Linked DNA regions of Callithrix jacchus. The main gene of each other region encodes a partner of the protein of the gene in region 2 in a complex. Links are inferred from orthologs where the notes say so. Each region holds a gene or a part of one and is shown on either strand. Other genes may lie near its edges.

Region 1 (4,341 bases), on a different chromosome or scaffold from region 2:
TTAGCTGTTATGTTTATTAGTTTTCTTGTCTTTCCTAAATTTTCATTTGCTTGAGCTACAAATAATTGAGCTAAACTTTCAGTGTAGTAGTGGATTTACCAGTTTCTTCAATGTCTGACTTACATATTTTGAAGGTATTTATTACACACAAAGGTTTGAATAACGTATTTTCCTGGTGACTGCAATTTTTATTATTTTGTAGTGACTCTTTTTGGTCAATGATAGTGCTTTTTGTTTGAAAGTCTAATTTGTCACTAATATCGGTATACCAGCTTTCTTTTTTTTTTGGCATTTATGTGGTGTATCTTTTCCATCATTTTATTTTCAACTCCTCATTATCCTTAAAGTTTTTGGTGCATCTCTTGTTAACGGCACTTTTTTTTTTTCCAATCAATCTCTGGTTTTTAAATTTTTTAAATTTGCGGGTAGGTGTCATCCAACAATCTCTGGCTTTTCATTAGGAAATGTATTTACTTTCATTGTTACTATTGATCTGTATGAATTTATTTCTATTCTGTTACTTTAGTGCTTTCTTTCCATCCTGTTGTTTATGCTGATTATGGTATTATGCTTTTGCTTAATGTGTATTTTCTTGTTAGTCCATTTTTTTCCTTCAGCTGGATTAGAAGTAATACACTTTCATGGTTATTCTTGAAACTTTACCTTACCTACTTATGTTAAACCTTGAATTATGTCAACTGTATTAATTGATATCTTAATTACAAAGAGAGACCTCAGAATTCTTTAACTTTTGTCATCCACCTCTTGTCTTACATTTGTTGTCTGGTGTTATTTTGGGTAATGTTTGCTTAGATTCAACTATGTGTTTACAGTTTCTTTCGCTCATCACTTCTATTTCAGACTCTTCTTCTGAAGTAATTTTTCTTTCTGAAGCACATCCTTTAGAACATCCTTTAGAAAGTACAGGTAAATGTTAAACTCAGTTTCCATGTATCTGGAAATTATTTTATTTCTATACTTCCCTTTAATTCTTGAAAGATAATTTTGCTGAGTGTCCAATTCTAAGTTGATGGTTATTTTCTGTCAGCACTCTGAAGGTACAATTCTACTGTCTTTTTGACTTCCATTATTCTATTGAGGACTCTGTTATTGGTCTAACTGTCATTTGTTATTAAAATAACCCAGGATTTAACCCAACTCTGCCACTTTCTTGTTCTGTCATCTTGGCATGTCACTTCAATTACCTAGGCCTCAGTCCCTCATTGACCAAAGAGAGATGAGAACGCCAACCTCACAGCTTTCTAATGAACATTAAGACAGATCACGTATATGAAAGCACTACACAAGTGCTTATTATTACCATAATTTGCTCATCTCTACATTATATTACCATCTTGTTCTTTTCTCCCTACCACCGGAAGTAGTCAGAATGGGGCAAAGGGTCATAGTAAGGAATTAATAGCCAAAGTTAGACATAAAAAGGCAAGGCTTCTTCTGGGAAGGTTAAGTTTCTGTAATAGGAATCTAAGATGTCAGATAGGAGTACAGCTTTTTCATATTCCATCGCTACCATCATTGCCTTACTTCAGCTTCTCATTATCTTTTGCTGGATATTTGCATCATTGGCATTTCTCCCTTCAGGCTCTTAAGCCTCTTATTCACCCTCCTCATACTACCAAAGCCTTCATTCTAAAATGCGAATATGATTACTTCCTTGATTAATACCTTATGGCAAATTCCAGATTTGGTTAAGTTCCTAGTCTGTGTGTTCCGCAAAACATTCTCTGTCGCAAAAGCAGCAGTGTTGAGATTACCAGACAGTGGTGTTAACATCAGACCACCCGGGTTCACATCCCAGTCTTCTAGTTAAAATTGTGTGAATCTGTAGCAAATTGTTTAACACAGGAAGCTGTAAAACAGTCAAAACAGTAAGCACTTTATCATGTTGTGAATGCATGCGGTGCACAATATCTAAGTGCTCAGTAAAGTTGCCTGTTATAGGATATTATTAATATATTGTAATTGTCCCCATAAACTGTAAGATAAATACAGTACATGCTATTATTACCGAGGATGACATTGTAATTGATAACGTCTCAGTCTCTTCATTATACCTCCAATAACTTAAGGAATAGAAGCTGACTTACTCTAGAGGCTTGCATAGTATTTGGTAAGCCAAATACTTACTTAACAAATTCTCAATCTTGTTGGAATTGAGCCCCAGGCAGAACCGAGAAGCTGACTGTTGCTTCTGCCCTCGACTGAGGTGAATTGATAGCTGCACTGTTCCTCGGAGTCAAGAACTTGCACTCATTCTCAAGCAAGACGGCATAACTTTGGCCTTTCAAAGTATTAAACTAGTGATTCTGCCTTGCCCGCCCCTCAAATAAATGCCGTGTCACCCTAGAAACAAAGATAACACTCTCCGCACACACAAACACGCACCCCTCGAGGAACGAAGGGCTGAGAATATAAATGCACCAAGGCGCACGCACTTCGAGAGACAGGCACAGTGAAGGCAAATCCAACCAGAGAGAAGGTGGTCGGTGCATCGCAGGGTCTGGATCTTTCTTGCATCTTCAGCTATAAAAGTGGGCACCTCGGGGTATGCCAGGATCTTCGAGAAAACAGAAACACATTATTTACCCAGAAAACAAAGATAAAGCACAAGCCTGCAGGATAACTGGAGGATGTGGTTACAGTTGAGACTTTCTGCAACCTGCAGATTTTGCTGTGTCAAAGGCACAAGTCTGTCAGGGATCCTGGGCACCTCCGCGACCACCACCCCACCTCTCCGGAACCTTCCTCACCTGCACAGCAGGTTTCCCGGAGCGGCGCCTTTAAGCCGAGCTATGCGCATGCGCACTGGCTGTAGAACAGCGGGAGCCGGGGTTCCTTTCTGCTGACTCCGGTTTCCCCTAGAGGCGTCGCTTCTTCCGCTTTCTCGCCAGGCTCCTGCAGTCCCAGCCGTGAACCGAGATTTCTGAACTACTGGGCGAGAGCCAACGTCTCTTCTTCCTTCTGTTCCGGCGGAGGCTTTGTCGCTGTCGGCTGGGCCCCAAGGTGCCCCCCATGGCGGGGCCGCGGGTGGAAGTTGATGGCAGCATCATGGAAGGGGTGAGTGCAGAGCGAAGCGGCGGGGGCTGCAGCCAGACTAAGGAAGGGAGTTCTCACCATTGGTGTGCTTACGTCTCTTCTCCATGTATCCCACCCTTTGCAGGGCGGCCAGATCCTGAGAGTCTCTACGGCCTTGAGCTGTCTCCTGGGCCTCCCCTTGCGGGTGCAGAAGATCCGAGCCGGCCGGAGCACGCCAGGCCTGAGGTAAATCTGGCTGGCCGGGGAGTTGCGGCGTGAAGTTTGGGGATCCGGGGATCAGGCGCAGGGCTGCTGGGCTGGGGCATCGGGTGTCCGAGTGGTGGAACCCTGAAGGTCCTGGCTGCAGGTATGGGGGGATCCGGGGCCGGGACGCTCTGCCTGGGCGGTGGCCTGTGTTGTAAGGTCTTGGAAGCCTCGAGGGGGTGAGTTTAGAAATGGTCTCGAGTTTTCTCTGTTTGGCTAAAATAGTCCCATTTTGCTAAAGAGCTATCTCTTAAAATGTTTTCCCACCTCACCGGGCATTCCAAATATCCGAATAGTACGTATGAGCAGGCAAGATATATAGGGCAGAAATGCTTGTGAGGCCAGAGGAAACCCTGTTTTTTAACCAGTGCATTCTGTGCTGCTGCAGTTTTAGGATCCTGAGACGTGTTATTCCAGCTTTCATTCATACCTCCAGAGAGCTGTTATGACTAGAATTATTTCTTGTGAAGAGGAAAACACCTTGACACTTGACCTTATTTCTTCTGTCTGGGTAGCTGGGCATGCCACTAGTTGAGTTTTGGGTATATGCACCTGTTAGAAGAGGACTCAGGTTGAAGCCACACTGATTTCTTTGTATGTATTCTATATTTATTACATTTTAATAAATCAGCGATCTCAGTCTCTTATCTACAGTTTTGAAATTACCAAAGGCAATTGCTGATATATGTTGATGTTAACTGCCTTTGTCATAGTTGTTTGCAGCCCTCCAGTTCACCAACAGGGGAATCCAATTCATTAGGCTGTAGGTGTTGTGTTAGTTCATAGGGCTGCCATAACAAAATACCACACACACAGGGTGGCTTAAACAACAGAAATTTATTTCCTCACAGTTCTGGAGCCTGTCCAAGATCAAGGTCCTGACAGGGTTGGTTTCCTCTGAGAGTCATAAGAAAAGGATTTACTCCAGGCCTCTCTTTTTGCCTCTTCACATCGTGGTTCCTCTGTGCACTCAGCCCCTAGTGTCTCTGTATATCCTAGTCTCTTTTTATAAGGACACCAGTCCGATTGTATAAGGGCCTA
Region 2 (3,561 bases):
ATCTGTGTTATAGAAAAATCACTCTAGCCACGATGAGGAGGATCAGAAAAAGATGAAAGAAACCAGAAGACCTAGGGCAAGACATGATGCTGGCCCGAACTAGTATCTAAACAGAAGAGTGAAGAGAAGTAAATATATTGTGTGTGTGTGTGTGTGTGTGTGTGCACGCACGCGCGCGCGTGTGTGCGCGTGTTAGGACTCAGTGACTGAGTGAAATGGTGGGGGAGGGGACAGGAGAAATCATGTGTAAGTCCCAAACCTCTTGCTTAAACCTTTATGTAGACAGCAGTACCCACCCGTTGAGATGGGAAATGCTACGAGAGAAATAAGTTTGGGTTTATTTGAGGTGAAGGGTGGGAGTAGGACGGGGATAGAAACGTTAAGTCGTACATTTAGTGAACAGAATACCCATAAGACTCACAAGTAGACATTCAGGTATAAAAGTCTGGAGGCAAAGAGAAAGGATCAGGCTGCAGATACCTGTAGTCCTTGGGTAACTGAGGTGAGAGTGAAGAGAATATTCTGTAGAAAGGCAAAAAATGTCTAGGACACAACCCTAAGATAGAATCTAGAGTAATACTAACAATTAAAGGGATCCTAAGAAAGTGGAACTTGCATAATATGGAGAATTCAGCCCAAAGAATAGATGGAAAACTGGCAGAATATGGATTCAGAGACAGTAGGGAAAGAGTTTCAAAGGCAAGAAAATCAACAATGCTAATTACTGTCAAATAAAGCAGTGAAGAAATCAGTCCACCAGATTGAGCAATAAATGCATACATGTCCTTAAAGCAATTTATTGGCACAAACCATACACTGAGGAGTGAGTGGAAGTTGATGAAATAAAGCATGGACTCTTTTGAGAAGCTGGGTTTTAAATGGGAAAGTGAGAAGGAAACTGGTCACTGAAGGAGGACATAGGACCAAGGGAAGGCTTATTAATGTGCCCACAAGCCAGTGTTAATGAGCGCAAATGCATCTGAGCATGTGTATGGTACACAGGTGCACACACAGAGGCACGCAGAATTGTAAATGAGAAAGAAGCCGAAGTAGAAAAGAGTTTGAAGACTGAAAAATACAACAATAAACAACACAAAATCAAGTCAATGAAAAGGCAGATGATGTGTTACCAAGCACAAGTAACGGGATTAGTCTTAGGGAAAAACGGCATTTCCATGGTAATTGGAGAGATAATCAAAAGGATAGGTATAACAACAGGTAAAAGAGTTTTCAAATTTAGGGCATCAACTTGAGGAAATTCTCATCTGATGATTTCTCTTTTATGTAATATTTAGGAGACAAGGTCATCCACAGGCAGGGAAAACAGTATACAAGCAGAGATTTGAGAAGAGCAGAAAACAAAATGGCCATTACAGAGACCAGGACAGTGTACCATCTTAGGAAATAATAAATTATCAGCAAGGCTGAGGTTCCTGTTGAGGTTTGTGCCAAGAATTTACACAAATACCAATGTGCAGGGTGTTTTTTTCTCCGGGTGCAGTCAACAGCCTGGAAATAGCATAAAAAAGGCAGACTGCTGCATTCAAACAGGACTAGAGTTTTACCAAGCAGATATGACAGAACAGTGAGGCAGGCAACTCAAGGACACCTGTAAGAATGTGGCTAATGTGATGGACTATGGCATCTAAGCTGATCAGGAAGACAGTCAAGACCAGAAAGGGCAGATTGCAAAAAAAGTAGATCTATGGACTAGAAAACCTAAAAAAGGGTACAAACACTACAAATAACTAAGTAGACAGGAGGTCACAGTTAGATAATAAAAATCTGAATTTATTATTTCAGAAGTAGAGCAATTCCTGGTGATTACAGGCACAGTGGCTCTAAAATGAAGGGAGGTCATTGGAAATGTGTGGAAAGCTGCCAGATGGACAAGAAGGGAGGACAAGGCAGACACAATGTCTAAAATAACATGGTGTTCACAGAAAGGCAAGTAGTCTGACATTTCTAAAACCTAAGTTAAGAGGCATCAAGATAAGGATAGAGAAGGGAAGAGCCAAATCATGTATGTCACGGTAAAGAGAATAATCTTTATCTGGAATGCAATTTGCTCAGGATGAGAGCTATCCTCAAATATCTGAAGGGCTGTTGTATTAAAAAAGAATCAGACCACTTCTAGGAAATAGGAAGGGTGGAAGGTTCAAGGAAACAGACTAAAATAGAACATTCTAATGAGTGAATGCATAAATAGGTTGTCTTGGAAAAAACAAAAGTAAACTCTTTATTACTAGAAGTATTTAAGCGAAACTCAATGCTGATCAGCCTATAATGTTATACAAAGAATCAAAAAGGGGACCATTAAGTCCCTTTCAATTCCAAGGAGATAATAAGAGGCAGAAAGACAACACTTACCAATTCTACACCTATTACTCCTGCACCAATAACAACCATCTTTTCTGGAACTTTTTTTAATGATAAAGCACCTGTAGATGACACTATTGTATCTTCATCAATCTGTAAGAAAAACAAAAGATATAATCAAAATAACCTGAAAAAACCTAGTATAATCAACCCTCCATATCCATGGGTTCTGAATTTGCAGATTTAACCAACCAGATGAACTGAAAATATTCAGAAAAAAATTGATGTTTACATCTATACTGAACAGGTACAGATGGTTTTCTTGTCATTATTCCCTAAACAATACAGTGTAAGAACTACCTGCATAGCATTTATAATGTATTAGGTATTATAAGTAACCTAGAGAGGACTTAAAGTATACAGGAGGACAGATGCAAATTATATGCAAATACAATGTCATTTTATGCAAGGCACTTGAGTATGTGCAGGTTTTGGTAACCAAGGGGTTCCTGGAACCAATCCTCCACGAATATGAAGAGACAAGTGTATTTATAAACTGTGAACTCAGTAGAATCACTAAAACTAAGTCATTTATTTATTTTGAGGTATCTATATACCCAATTTCATCAAATCCCACTGAAAATGCTAACTTTAAATTTTATCATTCAATATTCGAAAATGCAACAGTCAATTTTAACTTCATACTGTAATCAAACATATCTTAATATTCCAAATCTAGTCAATATCATTACAGAATAAAGACAGGAAACTTCCCAAAGCTGAATGACCATTAAAATATCATATTTCAGGCAGAAATTTCTCATTCAAAGTTCACAAATAGCACGCATAATTTACAAAACCTATTTCTTAAGAAAAGTTGTAATGGTTGTAAATGATAAAGCATAAATACCGTGATTCCAGGAAAAGGAGTAACTTCTGAACCCGTAGCTATAAGAATATTCTTTGTATCAATAACTTGAGTGCTGCCATCAGCTTTCGTAGCAGTGACTTGATTTTTGCCAGTTATCTTTCCATATCCATTGACATGAACAACCTTTATGAAATAACGTTTAATAATTCACAAAGTTTAAAGTAATTTGTTTGATAAATCATTCGAAGGAAAAATACTCTAAATCATATCTAAAACAAAAGGCTACATTACTTAGTAATGCTACACATGGTGCAGCAAAAAATCTGTGATACATGTCAGGGAAATCTATTTCAGATTAGCAAACTACTTTA

What was found. Proteins that work in one complex are often made in the same cells at the same time.
Region 1: the proteins of DLD (region 2) and DBT are in contact, whole or in part, in a crystal structure (PDB 3RNM), measured with the Homo sapiens proteins. The link is inferred for Callithrix jacchus from reciprocal best matches to the Homo sapiens genes DLD and DBT. Residues at the interface, in NP_000099.2 of Homo sapiens: Ser446, Thr447, Asp448, Arg449, Glu472, Tyr473, Gly474, Ser476, Glu478, Asp479, Arg482; in NP_001909.4 of Homo sapiens: Thr174, Pro175, Ala176, Lys196, Arg199, Leu201, Lys202, Glu203, Leu206.

Annotation. Positions count from the first base shown.
Region 1 is NC_133508.1:145,606,699-145,611,039, reverse strand, and holds the start of DBT (lipoamide acyltransferase component of branched-chain alpha-keto acid dehydrogenase complex, mitochondrial), read right to left. Parts: upstream 2,822-4,341; 5' UTR 2,772-2,821; exon of another isoform or gene 2,579-2,771; 5' UTR 2,407-2,578; intron 1,871-2,406; 5' UTR 1,795-1,870; coding exon 1,687-1,794; intron 1-1,686. Other genes in the region: RTCA (RNA 3'-terminal phosphate cyclase), read left to right, coding at 3,034-3,078, 3,182-3,282. UniProt on the Homo sapiens protein: The branched-chain alpha-keto dehydrogenase complex catalyzes the overall conversion of alpha-keto acids to acyl-CoA and CO(2).
Region 2 is NC_133512.1:78,360,555-78,364,115, reverse strand, and holds part of DLD (dihydrolipoyl dehydrogenase, mitochondrial), read right to left. Parts: intron 3,374-3,561; coding exon 3,230-3,373; intron 2,473-3,229; coding exon 2,371-2,472; intron 1-2,370. UniProt on the Homo sapiens protein: Lipoamide dehydrogenase is a component of the glycine cleavage system as well as an E3 component of three alpha-ketoacid dehydrogenase complexes (pyruvate-, alpha-ketoglutarate-, and branched-chain amino acid-dehydrogenase complex).